2 linked regions of the Pelodiscus sinensis genome follow. The protein of the gene in region 1 binds, or shares a complex with, the protein of each later gene. Links are inferred from orthologs where the notes say so. Each region holds a gene or a part of one and is shown on either strand. Other genes may lie near its edges.

What was found. Proteins that work in one complex are often made in the same cells at the same time.
Region 2: the proteins of WDR20 (region 1) and USP46 are in contact, whole or in part, in a crystal structure (PDB 6JLQ), measured with the Homo sapiens proteins. The link is inferred for Pelodiscus sinensis from reciprocal best matches to the Homo sapiens genes WDR20 and USP46. Residues at the interface, in NP_653175.2 of Homo sapiens: Asn41, Ser42, Gly44, Arg151, Lys259, Tyr261, Phe262, Gly263, Glu282, Asp283, Asp284, Leu285, His301, Lys304, Ser305, Trp306, Gln374, Asp375, Thr376, Leu509, Arg516, Met517, His533, Glu534, Arg535; in NP_073743.2 of Homo sapiens: Asn205, Thr206, Ser207, Thr209, His210, Arg213, Arg273, Val275, Phe276, Pro277, Glu279, Leu280, Arg281, Phe283, Asp293, Met295, Gln338, Glu342, Tyr344, Thr347, Ser348.

The regions. Positions count from the first base shown.
Region 1 is NC_134714.1:22,292,518-22,302,713, forward strand, and holds the start of WDR20 (WD repeat-containing protein 20), read right to left. Parts: upstream 4,949-10,196; 5' UTR 4,913-4,948; coding exon 4,649-4,912; intron 1-4,648. UniProt on the Homo sapiens protein: Regulator of deubiquitinating complexes. Activates deubiquitinating activity of complexes containing USP12. Anchors at the base of the ubiquitin-contacting loop of USP12 and remotely modulates the catalytic center of the enzyme.
Region 2 is NC_134715.1:86,481,171-86,491,527, forward strand, and holds the start of USP46 (ubiquitin carboxyl-terminal hydrolase 46), read left to right. Parts: upstream 1-6,242; 5' UTR 6,243-6,685; coding exon of another isoform or gene 6,686-6,721; intron 6,722-9,051; 5' UTR 9,052-9,092; coding exon 9,093-9,173; intron 9,174-10,357. UniProt on the Homo sapiens protein: Deubiquitinating enzyme that plays a role in behavior, possibly by regulating GABA action. May act by mediating the deubiquitination of GAD1/GAD67.

The DNA.
Region 1 (10,196 bases):
CCCTTGACTAATCACTTTCCACCTCCCTGCTGCCTCTATAGAGGCAGCAGGGGGGAACAGGAGCCAATGCTGGGGGGGAGCCAGCTTAAAAGTCTGTTCCATGTAGCACCATCTCTGCAGGGGTAGCAGGCACCAGCCACGAATATCAGCTGATTCCCAGCTCACACCTAGTCCCAGACACATCTCTGCTTTTTAAATGTATTGAGACACATTTTAAAGCTAAAGCGCAGCAGGGGGAACCCCACATGAGCCAAGACAGCTGATTCCCAGCTCAGGCAGGGTCCCCTCACTGTGCACAAACCTTTTTTTACAGCCTTTTAAATACAAAGGCTTGTGCACAGAAGGGGGGACCCTGCACAAATTGGGAATCAGCTGTCCCAGCTTGTGCTGGGTCCCTCCAGCTGCACTTTAGCCTTTTAAATGTATTAAGAGCTCCACTGCAGCTCCCCCGCTTATCGACTAGTTGATGGAAAATCTATCAACTAGTCGATTAGTTGATTAAATTTAACAACCCTAGTTTGTACCTCTTTAGAGGTGTTTAAGGTGAATAACTCATTGTAATCACAGTTTTCATTTCTGAAGGCGAAGCAAAATGCTATTCTACATTTCTGAAGGAGCATTGTAACTAGGGATGTTAAAAATTGTTTGTGTAAACATGTAACTGCTGACATTTTTACATGTTTGCACACAGGAGGGCAGGCAGGAGCTTTAAAGGTGGCTCCTGCTTGCGCCCACCCTGCTGCCTCTGATAGAGAAGCAGTGGGGGGGGGAGAAAGAGGGAGTCGGCTCTGTGGGAGCCGGTGCTTATGGAGAGCTGGCTTTTAAGCTGGTTCCCTTCTACCACCACTCCCCCTGCCACCATGCTGCTGCCTCTGTGGGAGGTGGGTAAGAGGAGCCCACTCTGTGGGAGCCAGCATGCATAGAGAGTCATCTTAAAAGCTGGCTCCCCTGAGCACCGGCTCCCACCTCTCCCACACTGCCTCTGATACAGAGGCAGAAAGCATGGGTGGGGAGGAAGGCTGCATATATCAGTTATGATTAACCAATGAGCCCAGACTCCGCAGTTAATTGTGTACATGGACACATGCTAACATCCTTATTGGCAGGGCTCGACGATCGTGGCAAAAACTACTCGCCAGCCCCGCACTGCACATGCGCGAGACCCGCACTGCACATGCACTACACATGCACTAGTTCTTTCACAGTTTTATTTAGTATGTACCATGGTTAATTTAAGTTATTTAATTGGAAAAGATCCAATTGCAAGCAGTTACCTAAACCTGAGGAATGAACCCTGCTACTTCTGAAGACACCAGCAATTCCTTCCCTAACCTCAACAGAAACATGAGCAGAAACTAATGAACAAGGCCTTTTTAAAGACTGCTTAACAGGTATGAAGAGGTGATAAAATTAAAACATTATTTTTAACCTAAGTTATACTGCAACTTTAAAATGCAAACTTCAATTTGCTTTAGTTAACATACCTGAGCTATAATTATAATCACTGGTTTAAACTAAACTTTATTTCTCCTGATCATTCAAGTCATATGTATATATTAGGAATGTTGAGTATGGTTAATTGAATAACCTCATCAATTCTTATCTGTTAGCGGACTATTCTATAGTCCCTGGGGGCAGAGCAGACAGCAGCACAGGGTTCCAGGCAGGAGCTCCTGCACAAGTGAAGCCAGTTTAAAAACCAGCTCCTCTTGTGGACCAGCTGCTTGTCACCTTGTGCTGCTGCCTCTGATAAAGTAGCCCCTGTCTGTGTGTAGAGGGAAGAGGGTGTCTGAGCTCCCAGGCCCAGCACAAACTGGAACTGAGCCAGGCTGCTCCTAATACACTTTAAATGCAGAGCCACAGTTGGGGTAGGCCCTGCACCCAGCATGAGTCAGGCTGCTGGCCAGCCTGTTAAAAAAATTACTGTGGGGATGAGGGAATGAGTATAGTCTAGCATTAATCTATAAGCTTCTGCTGATCAGTTAATCAACTACATTATTACATCCTAGTATATACTACACACTAAACTATACCCAAAAAATCCTACACCTCACTTCCAAGTGTAAATTCAGACTTACATTGTTCACCAGAAGCAGCTGCTAAAATTGAGTTTAACATTTTCCCAGCATAAACACAGGTTAAGTACCCAAGTTTAATCAGTCTTGGGTAACTAGTATTGACTAAATTTTCTCTAATCTAGACAACTTTAGAACCATGCTGTAAGTGAAGTTTACAGCAGTTTATACATATTTATTTTAAGAGTGTTTTACATTTCTAATTTAATTTACCATTGAGCTCTTCTTTCTCTCCTTATATACCACAGAAAGAAGCAGTAGCAAGTTTTGTAACAAATGGCCCTTTTCTTTATGAAAATTATGTTAATCATTCCAACAGCTGTAATTGTCAGCTGAGAATCTTCTCTTCCCTATGCTAATATCAATTTTCTACACAAAACCAAAGGAATGGGCCCCAATCTGCAGAAGAGATCATAATGATTTCAAGTTCATTGATATTTCCAAATACATTCATAATGTAAACAATAATCCAAGTATCTGTCCTGAAGGTCTTACTGGTAACATTTCTTTGACCAACTCTAACAAATTCTGTTCTAAACAGCTAGTATATTTTACTATATTATCTGAAGAGTTTATAATATGCCACAAAACTCTCAGACATCCAGCAAATAGGTACAGTTTCAATTATTATTATACCCCAAATACAAAGATAAATACTGTTTTACCAAAGATATTGAAAACTATTAGAAGAATGCAGATAAATACTCAGAAACTGTAAAATTGCTCAGCTCCCTGTTTTTATGGCACATTTTCAGCTTCTAGACTTTTCTTTAAGTGAGATAAATGACTAAAAAAGATTTTGGTAAGAGTCACATGTAGAGCTGCTCTAAATAAAACAGTAGCAGAAGTTTGCAATTATTCTATACTGAAAACTAAGTACAAAATAATAGACTCGTAGCTGTCACAAGGGGGTTAGAAGATGGACAGATTTTAACCATATGAAATATCCTCACTGACTCATGTAGAAAGGCCACTATATGGACTATAATACTTCTGCTTTAAAGACATTTGTTCATAAGAATGGGCAAATAACTGTTCAATATCAACCACTCTAGGAACTTAAATATCAAATCAGTATTTAAATTTAATTCACAATTACTTAAGCCATCCCCAAATTATCAAGACTCGTAACATATTAAGTTAAATAATGTAAATGTCAACTCAAGTGTGCATATGCACTTGTTTCATACAACTAAACTCCTCAAGTTGTGCCTTTTCAGTTGTTAGACATTACCAACTGATCCTTACTAGACTCTGCAGTTAGGTAGTGCTTACATTTTACATGCATTACCAAGCAAGAAAGAGTGGGTTTGAGCACTCACCTGGAACTCCGTAAACCCAGGTTTAATAACTTGCTATCCTACAAACTTCCAATGTGACCTTGGGTGAATCACTAAATCTCTTTATGCCTCAAACCCCATTTCTAAAGTGGGAATAATAATTCTTCCTTTCATTTCAGAACTGTTAAAAGGATATACACTTTAAAGGATATAGTTTAAGATGCTCACATATTGTAGTAATTGGAAGAGAGGGTTCATATGTACCCAAGATAAATAGATAACATCTCAATAGACCTTCCAGATTAGTTATGTTTATATTTATATATATTAAACATGACACTTGCTCAGTTGGTGATGCAAATTATCAGAAGGAATCACATAGTACCAAGCAGTCAAGACAGCAATTACATATATTTAAATGGGGATTGTTTGCCAACTATTAGACCTGCATCATCAAATATTCACAGGTTGGGAGCCATATTTGGAATTAGTACTTCTCTCACAAAGAAAGCTTTTATAATATGTCATAATTAGAATTATCAAATCTCAGCCTTTAAAGTACTCAGTTCACTCCACTAGGCCTATCTAGAGATGGTCATTTAAAACATCAGACCTCTAATTTTTCATTTTGAATGTGAAATATTTCTTCCTGACCAAAATAAAACTAAAACCCCACCCTAAGAGAGATTTGGCAGCCCCGTGCTAATACCATACACCCTGCAGAGAGTGTCCTATAGTCTTCAGCCTATAATAGCCGGTTACATTACCGAACCTACTGCCTCCAGCCAAAGAAGGGACTATACAAGGAACATACTTTAGCCGGTGAGTTAAAAATTAAACTAGTTTTTAAATGTATTTCTGGGATTACAGGACACGGTTGCCAGCCACAGCAAGGGTCTGCACTCCACGACCCAAGAAGTCCCTTTCCAGTCATATGGCCTTTAAGTAGCCCCCAACACTAGTCCCTTTCAGGGATCTCCCCTCACACCTCTACCTGAGGCCTGAAATCCTGTTCCCCACAGCCCGGCACCATGCACAACCCCTTGTTCTGCGAGCAGGCACAGTTCTCGGCCACAAAGCGCCTCCGCTTGGGAAGGCCCCACAACCGTGTGGGCACCCTCCACCCCCGCAGAAGGGTGCAAAGCCCGCTCGCTGGCCTGGCGTCCGGCTCCCCCGGCCCTCGCAGGTAGCTTCCCGGCCCACACTGCAACCAAGCAGGTCCCCCCGGCACGCCCCCCGTGCTCCGAGCAGCTCTGGCCCCTGGCCTCTCCCGCCCCGCGGCTGCCCCGGTACCTTGCGGACCCCCTTGTAGATGTAGAAGTAGAGCTCCCGGCCCACATTGAAGCAGAGCCGGTCGCCGTTGCCGCTCTGGTCGTTGACGTTGACGAAGGAGACGCGGACCGGGTTAGAGCCCTGGGAGTTGAAGGGCACCCGGTTGGGCCGGCTGTACTCCGAGTGGCTCAGCAGCTTGTACAGCCCCTCCCGGGTAGTGAACTGGGTCTTAATCTCGTTCATCTCCTTCCCTCCTCCCTCCGCCGCCATCTTGGAAAGGAGCATTCATCCTGCCCCAGTGCCCGGATGTGCCCCCACGGCGCAGGCGCAGCCGCTCAGTCGCTGTACCCCAGGCTCGACGCGCAAAAGCCGTAAGGGGGAGGAGCGAGTCCGTCTGTTTACTGCGCTTCTGCGCATGTGCCAGCTGGCCTGAAACCTGGGCGGCCCCTCGTGGGGGAGAGGGGAGGAGCCTTCTCTTGGGAGAGGCAGGGCGGGGCGGGCCTTCAGGCGAGCGAGCGGGGCTCGCCCACGGAGAGCTGCTATTGGTTGTCAGCGCAGGAGCTGGCTGTCAGACCTCTGGCGAGGAGGGCAGTGTCTGAAGGAGGGGAAGTGGTGCTGTGGACAGATGGGGGAGGGCTTAGGTACTGGCATGAAGGGTGCGGGGTGTGCTGTGGCACCCCCTCGCTTTAAGTGGTTCCCATTATATCCAGGGCTTACAGTGTGGTTCAATGGCTCTCAGCACCTTCACCAGCGTCCCTGCCCACAAGCAGGGTTTAATGCCTTGGGCTTGGGACTCCAAAGGGTGATTTAGTTCTGGGGCAGGGTTTTAACAGAGCATCCTGCAGCATTCTGAGGTGCTGGATAACTTACCACTGTGCACCATGTTTGTTCCTATCTTAGAAAATTGTCAGCTGTGAGAGTCAGGAATACTCTTGAGATTCTTGCTTGCTGTGACCCTGGACAATTACTTCATCTCTCTGTGCCCACATTCACCTCCTATGATTGTTCTCACTAATTTACAGGGCAACATTAGGCATCATTATTGAATAAATATACACCTATCAATAGGCATCTAATCAAATATAAACCAAAGGGCCCAGTTCTCATGTGCCCTTTGTTGCCACTCCAGCAGCACATAGAAAGAAAGGTGCCTTACATTAGGCAGAAATGGCCACAGGGGAAATTTGCAGCCAGCAAGAGGATAATAGAGTGTTTCTGTGCCAGCTGCTCTCCCAGTCCTGGTTTGTCTTAGCATATCCTGGGTTATGGAGCCACCTGAATTTAGTTCCTGGCATAAATTAGAGCAGTGCCAGATTGTTTTAATGTTCACTTTTGCAACAGCCTTAAATAGCTGGGTTTCAGTATGCTCCAATCATGACTCCTCCTACCATTGACACTCCCTCTCTTCATCCTGAATATGTATGCATTGGTCTGCAAAGAAGGGCATTTTTGGATCCTATGCCACTAGAGTAAACCCTCTTATGCTGAGGGACCCTCCAGTGTCTGATTCTCCCAGCCTCATGGCACCTCTCTGCTGGCAAAGCCCAGATTCAGGGCTTGGTATTGCAAACATGCAGAAATTCTATGTGCAGAAATAAACTGAAAGAATCAAGGCCAAAAATTCCAAATAGAAATACCACCATCTTAAATACACAGTGAACGCAAACTGATAAGTCAAATGCTTTGAGATTCTCAAATGAAAGGCACTGTAGAAAGATATAGGATTATTATTTTAGATGCATGATGCATGATAGTCAAACATATAACAAACAATGAGGTTATTTTTGTGAATTAGGGGATATCTTTTTTAAAACACTCCAAATGGGTTGTAAAATTTTGCAGTCTTCAAAATGGAAAGTGGATTGGTTGATAAGGTATTGCTAAGGTAGCATCCTTTTTCACAGTGCTCCCAGTGCTACTAAAGCATCTGAATTGCTACTCTCATTACCCTTTTTTAATAATAGGATTGTGCTGATCTTGCCCTTACATGTTAGCTCTGCTTGTACTGTAGGTTTAGAAACAACACTGTTGTGAGGTATAAGTGATTAATAACACCTTCTGAAATGGCATATAGGAAAAGCAATCTTTTCATGCAGTTTGGCAAGAAAGCTAAACTTGTAAGCATTCAAAGTGTTTATTATCTTTTATTGTTAAATTACAGAGGTAGCAAGTTACAACTGAAACCTGCCAAAGCAAAAAAATTAACATCTTAAAAGAAATCATTCTCTAGGAAACATTTTACAAAATTATCTTTATTGGACTCAGATTCCCCAACTATTGACATAAAAAAAATTGGTTGCCTATTGCTTGTAATGGTTGTTCTTCGAGATATGTTGCTCATGTCCATTCCAAGGTGTGTGTGTTATTGCATGCTGAATGTATAATCATCAGAAGGTTTTCCCTACTGATACCCATCGGATTGGCTGTGGAACTCCCTAGAGTGGTGCCCTTATTGTGGTACATATAGGTTTGTGCCAATGTGTCATCTGGTCAGTTCCTTCTTGCTGGAAGACTCTGATAGAAGAGTTGTTCAGTATTGATTCATTGTTATTGACTATAGTGTTTCACCTGTTGTGTTTTTACAATATATATATTTCTGTTAAATTTGAAAGTGAGTCTGTGTTTATTGGAATCTGTAAAATCGACCGGTGATTAGATATGGCAGGTTCCAGGACGAACCCTCTTCTGAGACAAAAGCATTATATCACCATTCCAGATCAGGCCCTATATTTAATAAATTCTATTCTGTTAGTGTGCCTTTGCTAACAGGAGGGTTTTGTGCTTCCCAGTAAAACTTCCCTAACCAAGTCTGAACACCGCAGCTCAATCTGGTTCAGCCATGGAGTTTCCATGCCATGAGGTGGAGAAACTGACAGGTTCAGCAGCCTGGGGAACTAGTGCTGCTTTGGCCCCGCTGGTGCTATAAGGATGACTGAAGCCTTGTTCTGCTGGATTTGAGGAGGATCTTGTGTATCATAGAATCATAGAACACTAGGACTGGAAGGGACCTCGAGAGGTCATCGAGTCCAGTCCCCTGCCCCCATGGCAGGACCAAATACTGACTAGACCATCCCTGATATATATTTATCTAACCTACCCTTAAATATCTCCAGAGATGGGGATTCCACAACCTCCCTGGACAATTTATTCCAGTGTTTAACTACTCTGACAGGAACTTTTTCCTAATGTCCAACGTAAACCTCCCTTGCTGCAGTTTAAGCCCATTGCTTCTTGTTCTATCCTCAGAGGCCAAGATGAACAAGTTTTCTCCCTCCTCCTTATGGCACCCTTTTAGATACCTGAAAACGGCTATCATGTCCCCCCTTAATCTTCTCTTTTCTAAACTAAACAAACCCAATTCTTTCAGCCATCCTTCATAGGTCATGTTCTCTAGACCTTTAATCATTTTTGTTGTTCTTCTTTGGACCCTCTCCAATTTCTCCACATCTTTCTTGAAATGCAGTGCCCAGAACTGGACACAATACTCCAACTGAGGCCTAACCAGCGCAGAATAGAGCAGAAGAATGACTTTTCGTGTCTTGCTCACAACAACCCAGAATCATGTTTGCTTTTTTTTGCAACAGCATCACACTGCTGACTCATATTCAGCTTGTGGTCCACTATAACCCCTAGATTCCTTTCTTCCGTACTCCTTCCTAGACAGTCGCTTCACATTCTGTATGTGTAAAACTGATTGTTCCTTCCTAAGTGGAGCACTTTACATTTGTCTTTATTAAACTTCATCCTGTTTACCTCAGACCAATTTTCCAATTTGTCCAGATCATTTTAAATTAGTGGAAAGGGTATTAGTGGAAAGGGTGGGAACATGTACAATAAAGACCTCTTTGTGCTTTGCCACATCAATGACAAAGGGCCCCTGCTGAGGGGGCATGAAAAGATGTTTGTAATCTTTCTGTGGCATGAAATACTTCTTCTCTGCCCCATTAGCTATGGGCAATATGGAGGCTGGGGTCTGCCATAGCCCCTTTGTGGTGGTTTGAATAGGCTTTACATGAGTCAAGTCTACCCTGGAAAGACCTTCTGGAGCAAGAATGTCCACCATCAGGTCTGAGTCTTCTGTTATGTCATGTCCACCACTTGGAGGTGTACATTTTGGCTCACTCTTCTGAGAAGGTCTTGGTGTACCCTATTGTCCATCACCAGGAGTATGGTGGTACAGGTATCAGCCACTGCTGCATTCAGTGATGAGGATGAGGAGGCTCTGGAACCCTTCAATGTTTGAGGTCCCAGCATATAGTGCTCTTAGGGATAGATCTCTAATGGAGAACTTGGCTTGGCTTCTAGCACTTCTGGATGGGGAACCTTAATGGAATCCTTCAGGGAAGCCAGTTCATGGAGGAGTACACTACGTTTACCACTCTGAAAGAGGAGTAGACCAGGGGTAAGAAGGTCAGGAAGCTGCACATGTTTTGCAAAGCTGGTTCAGTATTATGAACTAAAAACAGTTAAGAGGAAAGCTATAATAGGAAAAGATAGGACTGCCTATGTATAGGGCCCTACCAAATTTACTGCCATAGAAAAAAACATCACAGACCATGAAACCTGGTCTTTCCCATGAAATCAAGTGTTGTGTGCTATTACCCTCTGTTATACAGATTTAATGAGGGGAGATCAGTATTTCTCAAATTGGGAGTTCTGATCCAGAAGGGAGAAGCAGGGGCATTTTATTTTAGGGGCAGATCACAATATTCCCACCCACACTTCTGCGCTGACTTTGGAATTAAGTGGCTAGAGAGTGGTGGCTGCTGAAGTAAAGGTGGCAGTATGATCCCATCCCATCCTTACTTCTACATTGCCACTGGTGGCAGCTCTGCATTCACTGCTGGGCTCCCAGCCAGCAAGTGCCATGCTCCAGCTGATCAGCTCTGAAGGCAGTGCTTTCAACAGCAGCAGTGCAGAATGGTAGCAGAACTATGATCCACTTGCAACATCTCCCCGTCGGCTGACACACACACAACTCTTTTTCTTGGTTATGACTCGTACAATTACTACACTGTGAAATTTCAATTATAAATAGCTGAAATCATGAAATTGACAATTTTAAAAAATTCTATGATCATGAAATTGACCAAAATGGACTGGTATTTCTCTACCTATGTACTGTATGAAGAATAGAAACCATACACACTTGAACAACCATATAAACTGAGCCATTAGCTATCATTGTTGAAAAGTCATGGAAGATGGGAGAGATTCCAGAAGACTGGAAAAAGGACAAATATAGTGCTAATCTATAAAAAGGGAAATAAAGACAACCCAGGAAACTATTGACCAGCCAGTTTAACTTCTGTGCCAGGAAAGATAATGGAGCAAATAATTAAGGAATCCATCTGCAAACAGCTGGAAGATAATTAGGTGATATAAGCAACAGTCAGTATGGATTTGTAAAGACCAAATCATATCTAATTAACCTGATAGCTTTCTTTGATAGGATAACAAGCCTTGTGGATAAGGGGAAGTTGTAGACATTGTATACTTAGACTTTAGTAAGGCATTTGATACAGTCTTGCATGATCTTCTTATCAATAAACTAGGGAAATACAACATG
Region 2 (10,357 bases), on another chromosome or scaffold:
GCACGGAGTAGGTAGTTCGAATTAGGCTCTCTAATTCGAACTACTGTTACTCCTCATGGAACAAGGTGTACCGCTAGTTTGAATTAGACAGCCTAATTCGAACTACCTACTCCGTGCTGCGTGTAGCCGCGGGCACGGAGTCCGCACTAACAGGGATTTAAAAATGGCGGCGCCCAGCAAGATGCAAATGAAGCCCGGGATATTTAAATCCCGGGCTTCATTTGCAACTTCGAATGCCTACATTAGCCACCCTAGTTCGAACTAGGGTGGCAGTGTAGACATACCCATAGAGCTTGAAGAGACCTCAGGAGATCATCAAGTCCAGCCCCCTACCCAAGGCAAGACCAATCCTAATTAAATCAACCCAACCAGGGCTTTCTCAAGCTGAGACTTAAAAACCTCTAGGGATGGAGATTCCATCACCTCCCTAGGTAACCCATTCCAGTGCTTCACCGCCCTCCTAGTGAAATAGTTTTTCCTAATATCCAACTTAGCCCTCTCCCACTGTAACTTGAGACCATTGCTCCTTGTTCTGCCATCCATCCCTATTGTGAACAGCCTTTCTCCATCCTCCTTGGAACCTCCCTTCAGGAAGTTGAAAGCTGCTATCAAATCCCCCCCTCACTCTTCTCTTCCGCAGACTAAACAAACTCAAATCCCTCTGGGTATGTCTACACTACCCCGCTAGTTCGAACTAGCGGGGTAATGTATGCATACCGCACTTGCTAATGAAGCCCGGGATTTGAATTTCCCGGGCTTCATTAGCATAAGCGGGGAGCCGCCATTTTTAAATCCCCGCTGCTTCGAACCCCGTGTAGCGCGGCTACACGGGGCTCGAACTAGGTAGTTCGGACTAGGGTCCTATTCCGAACTACCGGTACTCCTCGTGAAACGAGGTGTACCGGTAGTTCGGAATAGGCACCCTAGTCCGAACTACCTAGTTCGAGCCCCGTGTAGCCGCGCTACACGGGGTTCGAAGCAGCGGGGATTTAAAAATGGCGGCTCCCCGCTTATGCTAATGAAGCCCGGGAAATTCAAATCCCGGGCTTCATTAGCAAGTGCGGTATGCATACATTACCCCGCTAGTTCGAACTAGCGGGGTAGTGTAGACATACCCTCAGTCTCTCCTCAAAGGTCATGCGCTCCAGCCCCCTAATCATTTTGGTCGCCCTCCGCTGGACCCTCTCCAATGCGTCCACATCCTTTCTATAGTGGGGGGCCCAGAATTGTACACAATAGTCCAGATGTGGCCTCACCAGAGCAAAATAAAGGGGAATAATCACTTCTCTGGATCTGCTGGCAATGCTCCTCTTAATGCAACCTAATATTCCATTAGCCTTCTTGGCTACAACGGCACACTGTTTACTCATATACAGCTTCTCATCCACTGTAATCCCCAGGTCCTTTTCTACAGAACTGTTACTTAGCCATTCAGTCCCCAGCCTGTAACAATGCTTGGGATTCTTCCATCCCAAGTGCAGGACTCTACTCTTGTCCTTGTTGAACCTCATCAGATTTCTTTTGACTCAATCCTCTAATCTGTCCAGGTCACTCTGGACCCTATCTCTGCCCTCCAGCGTATCTACCTCTCTCCCTATCTTAATGTCATCTGTGAACTTGCTGAGGGTGCAATCCATCCCCTCATCCAGGTCATTAATAAAGATATTGAACAAAACCAGTCCTAGAACAGATCTTTGGGGCACTCCGCTAGAAACCATCTGCCAACCTGACTGAGCCGTTGATGACTACCCATTGGATCCAACAGTCTAGCCAGCTTTCTATCCATCTTACAGTCCACTTATCCAATCCATAGTCCCTTAACTTGCTGGCAAGAATATTGTGGGAGACCCTATCAAAAGCTTTGCTAAAGTCAAGGCATGTCACATCCACTGACTTTCCCATATCCACAGAGCCAGTTACCTCATCATAGAAGCTAATCAGATTGGTCTGGCAGAACTTGCCCTTCTTGAATCCATGTTGACTATTCCTGATCACTTTCCCCTCTTCCAAGTGCTTCAAAATGGATTCCTTGAGGATCCCCTCCATGATTTTTCCAGGGACTGAGGTAAGGCTGACCGGTCAGTAGTTCCCTGGATTATCCTTCTTCCCTTTTTTAAAGATGGGCACTACATTTGCCTTTTTGAAATCATCCAGGATCTCTCCCGATCTTCAAAGATAATGGCCAAAGTCTCCGCAATGACATTTGCCAACTCCCTCAGTACCCTCAGATGCATTAAATCTGGGGCCGTGGATTTGTGTATGTTTAGCTTTTCTAAATAGTTCCTAACTTGTTCTTTCCCCACCAAGGGCTGTCCACCTCCTTCCCATACTGCGTTGCCTAGTGCATTTGTCGGGGAGCTGTCCTTGTCCGTGAAGACAGAGGCAAAGAAAGCATTGAGTATTTCAGCTTTTCCCACATCATCTATCACTAGGTTACCTCCCTCATCCAGTAAGGGCCCCACGCCTTCTCTGATTACCCTCTTATTGCTAACATGCCTGTAGAAACCTGTCTTGTTGCCCTTCACATCCCTGGTTAAGAAAGTTCCAACCTGTAGTTTCTATTTTTAAAGATGTTTCACTCTATCTGGGCTGTGTAGTTGTGGCAATCAGTAATTTATTTGCACTGGCTGTGTCTACATTGGCATCCCTTTCCGGAAAAGGGATGTTAATGAGACACTTCGGAATTGCAAATCCGCGGGGGATTTAAATATCCCCCGCGGCATTTGCATTTACATGGCTGCCGCTTTTTTCCGGCTCGGGGTTTTTGCCGGAGAAAAGCGCCAGTGTAGACACGATTCTCCGGAAAATAAGCCCTTTTCCGGAGGATCCCTTATTCAAGGATATTTCCTACTTGAATAAGGGATCCTCCGGAAAAGGGCTTATTTTTCGGAGAATCGCGTCTACACTGGCGCTTTTCTCCGGCAAAAACCCCGAGCCGGAAAAAAGCGGCAGCCATGTAAATGCAAATGCCGCGGGGGATATTTGCAATTCCGAAGTGTCTCATTAGCATCCCTTTTCCGGAAAGGGATGCCAATGTAGACACAGCCACTGTGTGTGCAATGTCCTGCCCCACAGAAACTGCACAGACACTACTGATTGTGAATTCACAGTGCCACTTATTTGAGTCCTCTCCACAAACACTATTTAATCCCCATACAACAGTCTATTTAAAATAGCCTCTGTGCTTTTGACCCTCACATCAGGATCTGTGATAAGTAGAGATCTCTCTTCCCTGAGGTTTCTGTGGGTACGTCTACACTTGCTCCCTAGTTCGGACTAGGGATGCAAATGTAGACAAGTGAAGTAGCTAATGAAGCTGGTATTTAAATATCCCGCGCTCCGTTAGCATGATCTCGCTGGTGCACTAGTTCGAATCACAGCTGATTCGAACCAGGAAGTGCGCGCCAGGACGTGTTAGTTCGAACCAAAGCCCTTGGTTCGAACTAACATTACTCCTAATTTTTTAACGTTACTCAAAAAAATGAGGAGTAATGTTAGTTTGAACCAAGGGCTTTGGTTCGAACTAACGCGTCCCGGTGCGCACTTCCTGGTTCGAATCAGCTGTGATTCGAACTAGTGCACCGGCAAGATCATGCTAATGGAGCACGGGATATTTAAATCCCGGCTTCATTAGCTACTTCACTCGTCTGCATTTGCATCCCTAGTCCGAACTAGGGAGCAAGTGTAGATGTACCCATATATGAGATCAGCTAGACCTGTTCCTCTCACCCAGAACTGCCTTCTCATGTCTCTTTACTGAGGGACTGGCCTAACTGGCTCTGTCTCACCCTGCTTTCAAACCTATATAACTACTTCAGTCTGCTGGCAGAGGAGAGAGAGTGAGGGTTGGAGGAGAAAGGCATGGACAAAGGAGAGAGAGCCTGCCAGGGATCTAGGGCTGCTCAAATGGCTGTAATTAGCTGGTATGTATTAGAACTTTACTCCAGCTGCTCTAATGAGAATTGGAGGCTAACTCAGGCCTCAGTGGCTCTTGGAGTGAGATGTGGGGTGCAGAAAGGTACATCTATTTCTCCTCTACCTCCCTTAATTGTGCCAAGCAGAGCTAGTGCAATTGAAAATCCTTAAATCAAAGTTTAATGAAATTCACGATGAGGGGCCAAATTATTCAGTAGCATAACAACACAAAATCAATGGAATTACATTTAAGATTACTTGTTTCAGTGTTTGTGACATCATTTTATCAGGTTAAGTTAGTGTTTGTGGAAGGAGATGGCCTGAAAGCACAGTGCTGGCCCTTTATCCACGGAGTGGAGATTACAAGTGTAGGTTGCCTCACTCTACCTTGTCTCCACAATAACCCAATCCTTGGCCTTGGCTAAGGCTGCCAATTTGTGCTAATTTTGATGGTGACATTTGTAGTGTGGCACCTATCCACTAGGAACTGGACTGAGGCCAGCAACTTATTTTACTTTGATCACCTACTGGCATTCTGATAGTAAGATTTCATCTTTCAGTCACAGTTGACTGGTGTCAGATTTTAATTAGTGATCTAAGGCCTGATTTTGCTGTTTGCACTCACTACTCTGGAAAAACTCCTTTTGCTTTCAGGGTGTTTTGCCTAAACAAGGTCTGCAAGGTTCAAGCCTCTGCAGACTGAAAGTGCCAGTATCAAGATGCAGGCAAAAAGGCATCTAAGTTCAAATTTGCTATACTTAATTTCCTGGGTATTGATCGTTTGTTTGTTTATTGAGAATCAGTGCATAGAGAATAATGTCTTCACAGCACAATTGTTTGCAGAGTATAGTTTCTTTTTAAAAGTTCTCTTTTTCATTTGAACCACTCCTTGGACAGACAGGTGGGAGTTTCTGGTGATAGTGTTTACAATGTGTGTTAGGACAATCAGAGTTAAAGTCTAAGATGTGGTGCCTGTATAACTGAATTGTATTCTTGCTTCTCCTACAGACTTGCTATGTGGACCTAGGCAAGTTATTTAACATTCTTTACCTGTTATCTCATCTGCAAAGTTGTTATACCAGTGCTAATTTCCCTTGCTGAGTGTTGTGAGGCTTAATTTATTGATGTTTGTAAAATGATCTTAGATCCTTGGATAGAATGTGCTAGAAAGCATGTGAGCCATTTATATACATGAATGTGTGCACACCTGCATACTCATTAAATTATCAAATTTGTAAAGCTAAATGTTACATATAGTACAATGATTGTGCAATTATCATTGTACAGCTATACATCACAAACTATATTGCTCCCACAGCCTTCAAAACAATAGCAAATAATAGATATTTCACACACAAATGTCTGTAGACTGTATAGTTCTGTGGCCCTTATAGGTCAGCTAAGAAGTATTTCTCTTTAGCACACATCACAAACAACTCAGCTCAAGCTGCAAATAAATCTAATCCAGTGGTTCTCAAGCTGTGGGCTGAGACAAGGAAGTAGGGTCACAACCCTTAATGAGGTCACCAGAGCTGGCTCACACTATCCGGGGGCTCCAGCCAGGCCAAAAGACCAAGCCTCACTGCCTGCGACCCAAGCCAAACTCCAAGGTCTTCAGACTCAAGTTACAGGCCCTCTGCCTGAGCTGAAGAACTTGGGCTTCTGCTTTGGTCCCTGCACTGGGAAAGGCTTGGCTCTGCCACCTAGGGCAGCTGGGCTCAGGCTTCAGTCTCCACCCTCGGGGGTCCTGCAATAATTGTTATTGTCAAAAGGCGGTCTGGTGCCATGAAGTTTGAGAGCGCCTGATCTAAACAAAGGCCTCTTCCCCGGCCCACACGGCTCAGCAGATCTGAGGAAGTGGGTCTGGCCCACGAAAGCTCATCATCTAATAAACCATCTTGTTAGTCTTTAAAGTGCTACATCGTCCTGCATTTTGCTTCAGATCCACCCTGTGCTTTTCGGTTGTCACAGCACCAATGCACATGGGGATTGGGGCGCCCTTCCTGGGGCTCCCAGCCTGAGCCCTTCACCCCTCTGAAACCAGCGGGGGCTTCGCTTGGTGCGTGCCAGAGCTAAGGGATCTGATTGGGCCCGAGCGCGGCCCCGGCCCATCTGCCTGCTGAGGGCAGCACGGCCGGTCCCGCGGCCCCTCCGCACACCACCAGCCGGGTAAACAGCAGCCGAGCAGGGAGCGTGACCCGTCGCCTTCCCCTCCCATGCACCGCATTGGCTGCCGCGTCAGCCGCCTCGGCGGGGCCTGCGCTGCGGGTTGGTGCCGCTGCATGCCACTTACCAGCGCTGCCCTGCCCTTCCCCGGCGCTGTCAAAGTTGATCACCGGGCGCTGCGCTGCAATGGAGCGGAGAGCGGGGAGAGCGGCCGCCAGGGAAGGCGGAGGAAGGGGGAGATTAACACGGCCCCGGCTGGCACAGAGGCGCGGCTGATCTCCCCATGCACTAAGGGGGAGCGAGCGGCGGGAGGGGGAGGGCCGCTGCTAGCGCCGCACGGTGAAATCTGCGGGTCAGCCCTTCGCAGGAGCAGCCGGCGGCGGCTCTAGGGCTGCGAGAATCCAGGCGCTTTCTGCTAGTTGTCTCTCTGCTCGGGGAGAAGCGGGGTGGTGTTAGAGGCTGTTTTACCCCCTTCCGCCTGCTTCCCTCCCAGCGTAACCTCGGACCCTCCTCCTCTCCCCCTCCCCGCGATCTTCCGACCATGAGCGTTTCTCTTTTCACCTTCTAAAGATGGCGGTGTGGGATCACTGCAACCTTTAGACTAATGACTGTCAGAAACATCGCCTCCATCTGTAATATGGTAAGTATTCGCTGACCTGCATGCTGGCTTCAGGGGAGGGGGACACAAGCCAACAACACCCACTGCTGCCAGATCAGAATGGGGGGGAGGGAAGGGAAAGGAAGAGGGGAGCCTCCTCTCCAGGTGCACTGGAGAGTAAAGTTAGGGTTATCCTTATTCCTGTTTAATCCCCTCGCTGGAGGCTGCTGAGATCTGGAAGTGGGTGAACTAAAAGACCCATGTGAAGATAAACATGAGATGTAATTCAAAACACTGTAGGCAGTGGTCTGAGGAGCTTAATCTACTGTCTCCTTGCACTGCATATAGGGATATTCTGTCTCCCCAAAGAAGGGGGAGATCAGCTGTCCAACCATCTACTCCTTCCCCCAGCATATAGGAGAGCAATGGACAGCCTAGGCTAGTGAGTGGGCCACATGAGTGGCCCTCCTTCGTTTCAGTGGGCCACAAGATTGTCGTAACAAGACAGCCTCCCAGGATAGGGTAGTTTTGCTAACTACATAGAACTTGTGGGGTGTGCCTAGTGAACCGTAGCAGCACTTTGATTGGATGCAGAGGGAGCACATGGCTCTTACAGTCAATGTTGTATGTAATCAGCAGGCTCTGGCTTTACATGCGTGTCACTTTAGTAATAGTGGTAGGGAAAAAAAACCCTATGTGGATGGAAACCAGAGGAATCTGGCAACCCTCTGCATGGGCAATGGTAAACAAAATGTCTTGTGGGCCACACAAAGACTACAGCTACACTGTAGCCTTCTTACGGAAAGCCTTATGCAAATGAAGCATGGCATGGAATATCACTGTACTTCATTTGCATAATTAATTATCAGCTGTTATTGCGCAAGAGCCTTTTGCGCAAGAAGGAGCTGTGTAGATGGCTCCTTTTTGTGCAAAAAACTCCTCTTGTGGAAGAGCTGTTCTTCCTGAAAAAGCTCCTTTTTGTGCAAAAGCCTCTTGCATAACAGCAGCTGCTAATTAATTATGCAAATAAAGCACGGTGATATTCCATGCTGTGCTTCATTTGCATAAGCTTTTCCTCAAGAAGGCTACAGTGTAGCCGTAGCCATACAACCCCAGTGGGCTCCATGTGGTCCATGGGCCACCACTTATCTAGGTATAAGGTATGGGAAAGAGTTTAGTACAGTGGAGGATCTCATCCTTTGTATTGTAGTATTTACACAAGCTGGCAAGTTTGCAGCTTATGGTTCCAATTAAACATTTGAGCCAATATTTCTAAAATTGAGTTCCTAAAAGTAGGTTCCTGACTCCATACTGGGGACCTAAATACAAGGCCTGATTTTAAAAATGTTGCTGAGCATCCAAAAGGTCCCACTAAAGCCAACAGAAGCTTTATGTGCTCAGCAGTTTTGAAAATCAGGCCTAGTTTATGCCTGTGGACTTAGGAGCGTACATTTAAGTACTCGTTTTTGAAAATGGCTGCAGGATCAGAATCTGTGTTGATTTTATATACCAATAGGGATTAGGGATATAAAAGGTTAACCGATTACCTGGTTAACCAGTAAGCATCACCCTAAATGGGCTATGGTTAACCAGTAACCAGGGGTTGGGAACAGCTTTCCTCCTACTGTGGGTAGGGTCTGCTCCAGCCCCACCGGGGACCCACCACAGAGAGGGGTTACTCTCGTCTAGAGCAGCCTCTGTCCATGGGGAGCCTGGATGCCACGCAGGTAAGGGTTGTTTCCCTGGGAGTCAACAGCAGCCCCAGGAACCAGCCCCAGCACAGGGCTGGGCATGGGAGTCCTGCAGGCACCAATCCTGCTTAGTCAGTTAACTGGTTAAACATTAGGTCAACCTAATGTTTAACTGGTTAACTGATTAACCGGAATTTTACATCCCTAAAGGATTGCAGGGGACATAAAGTAAATAAGAACTGACTTTGGCCCAAGATGTTGTTTCGAATATATTTTTGAAACATTTAACTTTCCCCACCCAATGATAGTATAAAGATTAGAAAAATAAATTAGAAACATGAATGTTGCATTTCAGTTTGTGTTGGGTCTTCCTGTCATATCCTCTTGTGGCAGAAAGCAGCAAGGTTTCTTTACACATTTGAATATGGTTTTCGTTTTGATTCTACAGACTTTGGGGTTTAATTACCCCAAAGTCTATAGAGTCAAAATGAAAACCATATTAGACCACATCGCCTTTGGATTTTTAAGATTTGTTTCGTGATAGTTTAAGGACTCAGATTTTAATAGACCTGCAAAAGAAAGCAATTTATGGGATAGATTATAAATGCCCCAAATAAATAATATAACATATTTCAGCACCCTTTGTTGTTGTAGTTTATATTTTTCCCACCTTGTTTTCAGGTCCTGCAAGAACAGTTACATGCAGTCGCCAGCTTCCTCCCATGTGGTGCTCCACCATACCCTTTGCTGGTGATGTCACACCCACCATTCATCAGCACTGGAGAATGGAGACTGCCTATAGGGTAAGGCAGTGGTTCTCAACCTGTGACTCATGACTCCCTTAGGGGTCACCAGCAGTTGTTCAGAGGAGTGAGGGGTTGTGAGCCTGCTCCCATTCATGTCTCCAGTTTTATGCTGAAGTCAGTTTGATAAGTCACTTGCAACCAGTCAGTTTCAAGTGCTAGGAACATCCCCTCCCCTACTTATTCTAAGGCCCTTATTGCCACTTTCAACACACCACCTTTTCTGAGGTGCTTTACAGGAGGATTGAATTTAGGGATAACATTATGAAAAAAGGTTGAGAATCCCCAGAACAAGATAATTTGGGTTCTTGCCTTCCCTCCCCGATGTGGTTTCCTAAAGTTTTCATTGTTCTAATTTTTTTAACCCTGTGGAATAGAAGGCAAATATACTGCAAAGAAATATATAGCAAGCCATACAGTATTTGGGGAGAAAACCTGGAGTTACTTATCTTACTCTGTAGGCAGGCTTCAGTTTTCAGTGTTTGATGAATGGTGGGTGTGATCACACCTAGACTGCATGCTACAGCACCGCATGAAATAAAGCTGGAGATTGTTAGAGGGTCACAAGAGTTTAACATTGGCATGAATCTTATGTTTCTACCCTAACCTACTCAGATTCTTTTAGAGTGATGCATTTGTGCTTTCCCCAAGGTCTAGAAGAACCACAGAACAAAACCAATTAGGTTTTCATTAGTTTTACTCTGCTATTGATTCTCTTACCCACCACTGGTAGGCAGCTGCATAAGTAACATCTTACGAATGTAGGACTACAGAGGGGAATCAGATCTAAACAGGAAAGGGATGCAAGGACAGAAAAAGGGGATGGTCTAGTGAAGCCTGATGTTCAGGACCAGTTGGTTTCTTGCACCCTTTGCTTGGGGTGGCAACAATACTTTATTTCTCTAACAATGACTTTCAGGTGAATGAAGAAGCTCTATCAGTGGACTCCAGAGGAAGCTATGTAAAGCCTATATAGGAGGACTGCTGCAGTGCACGTCCTTTTGCAGGTGAAGGCAAGTGGATCATAAAGTCTTCCCGCAAAGAGGGGCAAGAGAAGCAAGAAATAGGGAGGAGAGAGACTGGCACAAATAAAATGGGGAAAGGGAGAAGACAAGAACAAAATGCATAACATCCAAAGAGGGGAAAAGGCACTTAGAGTGGGGTTGGAGAAGGGTGAATGGAAA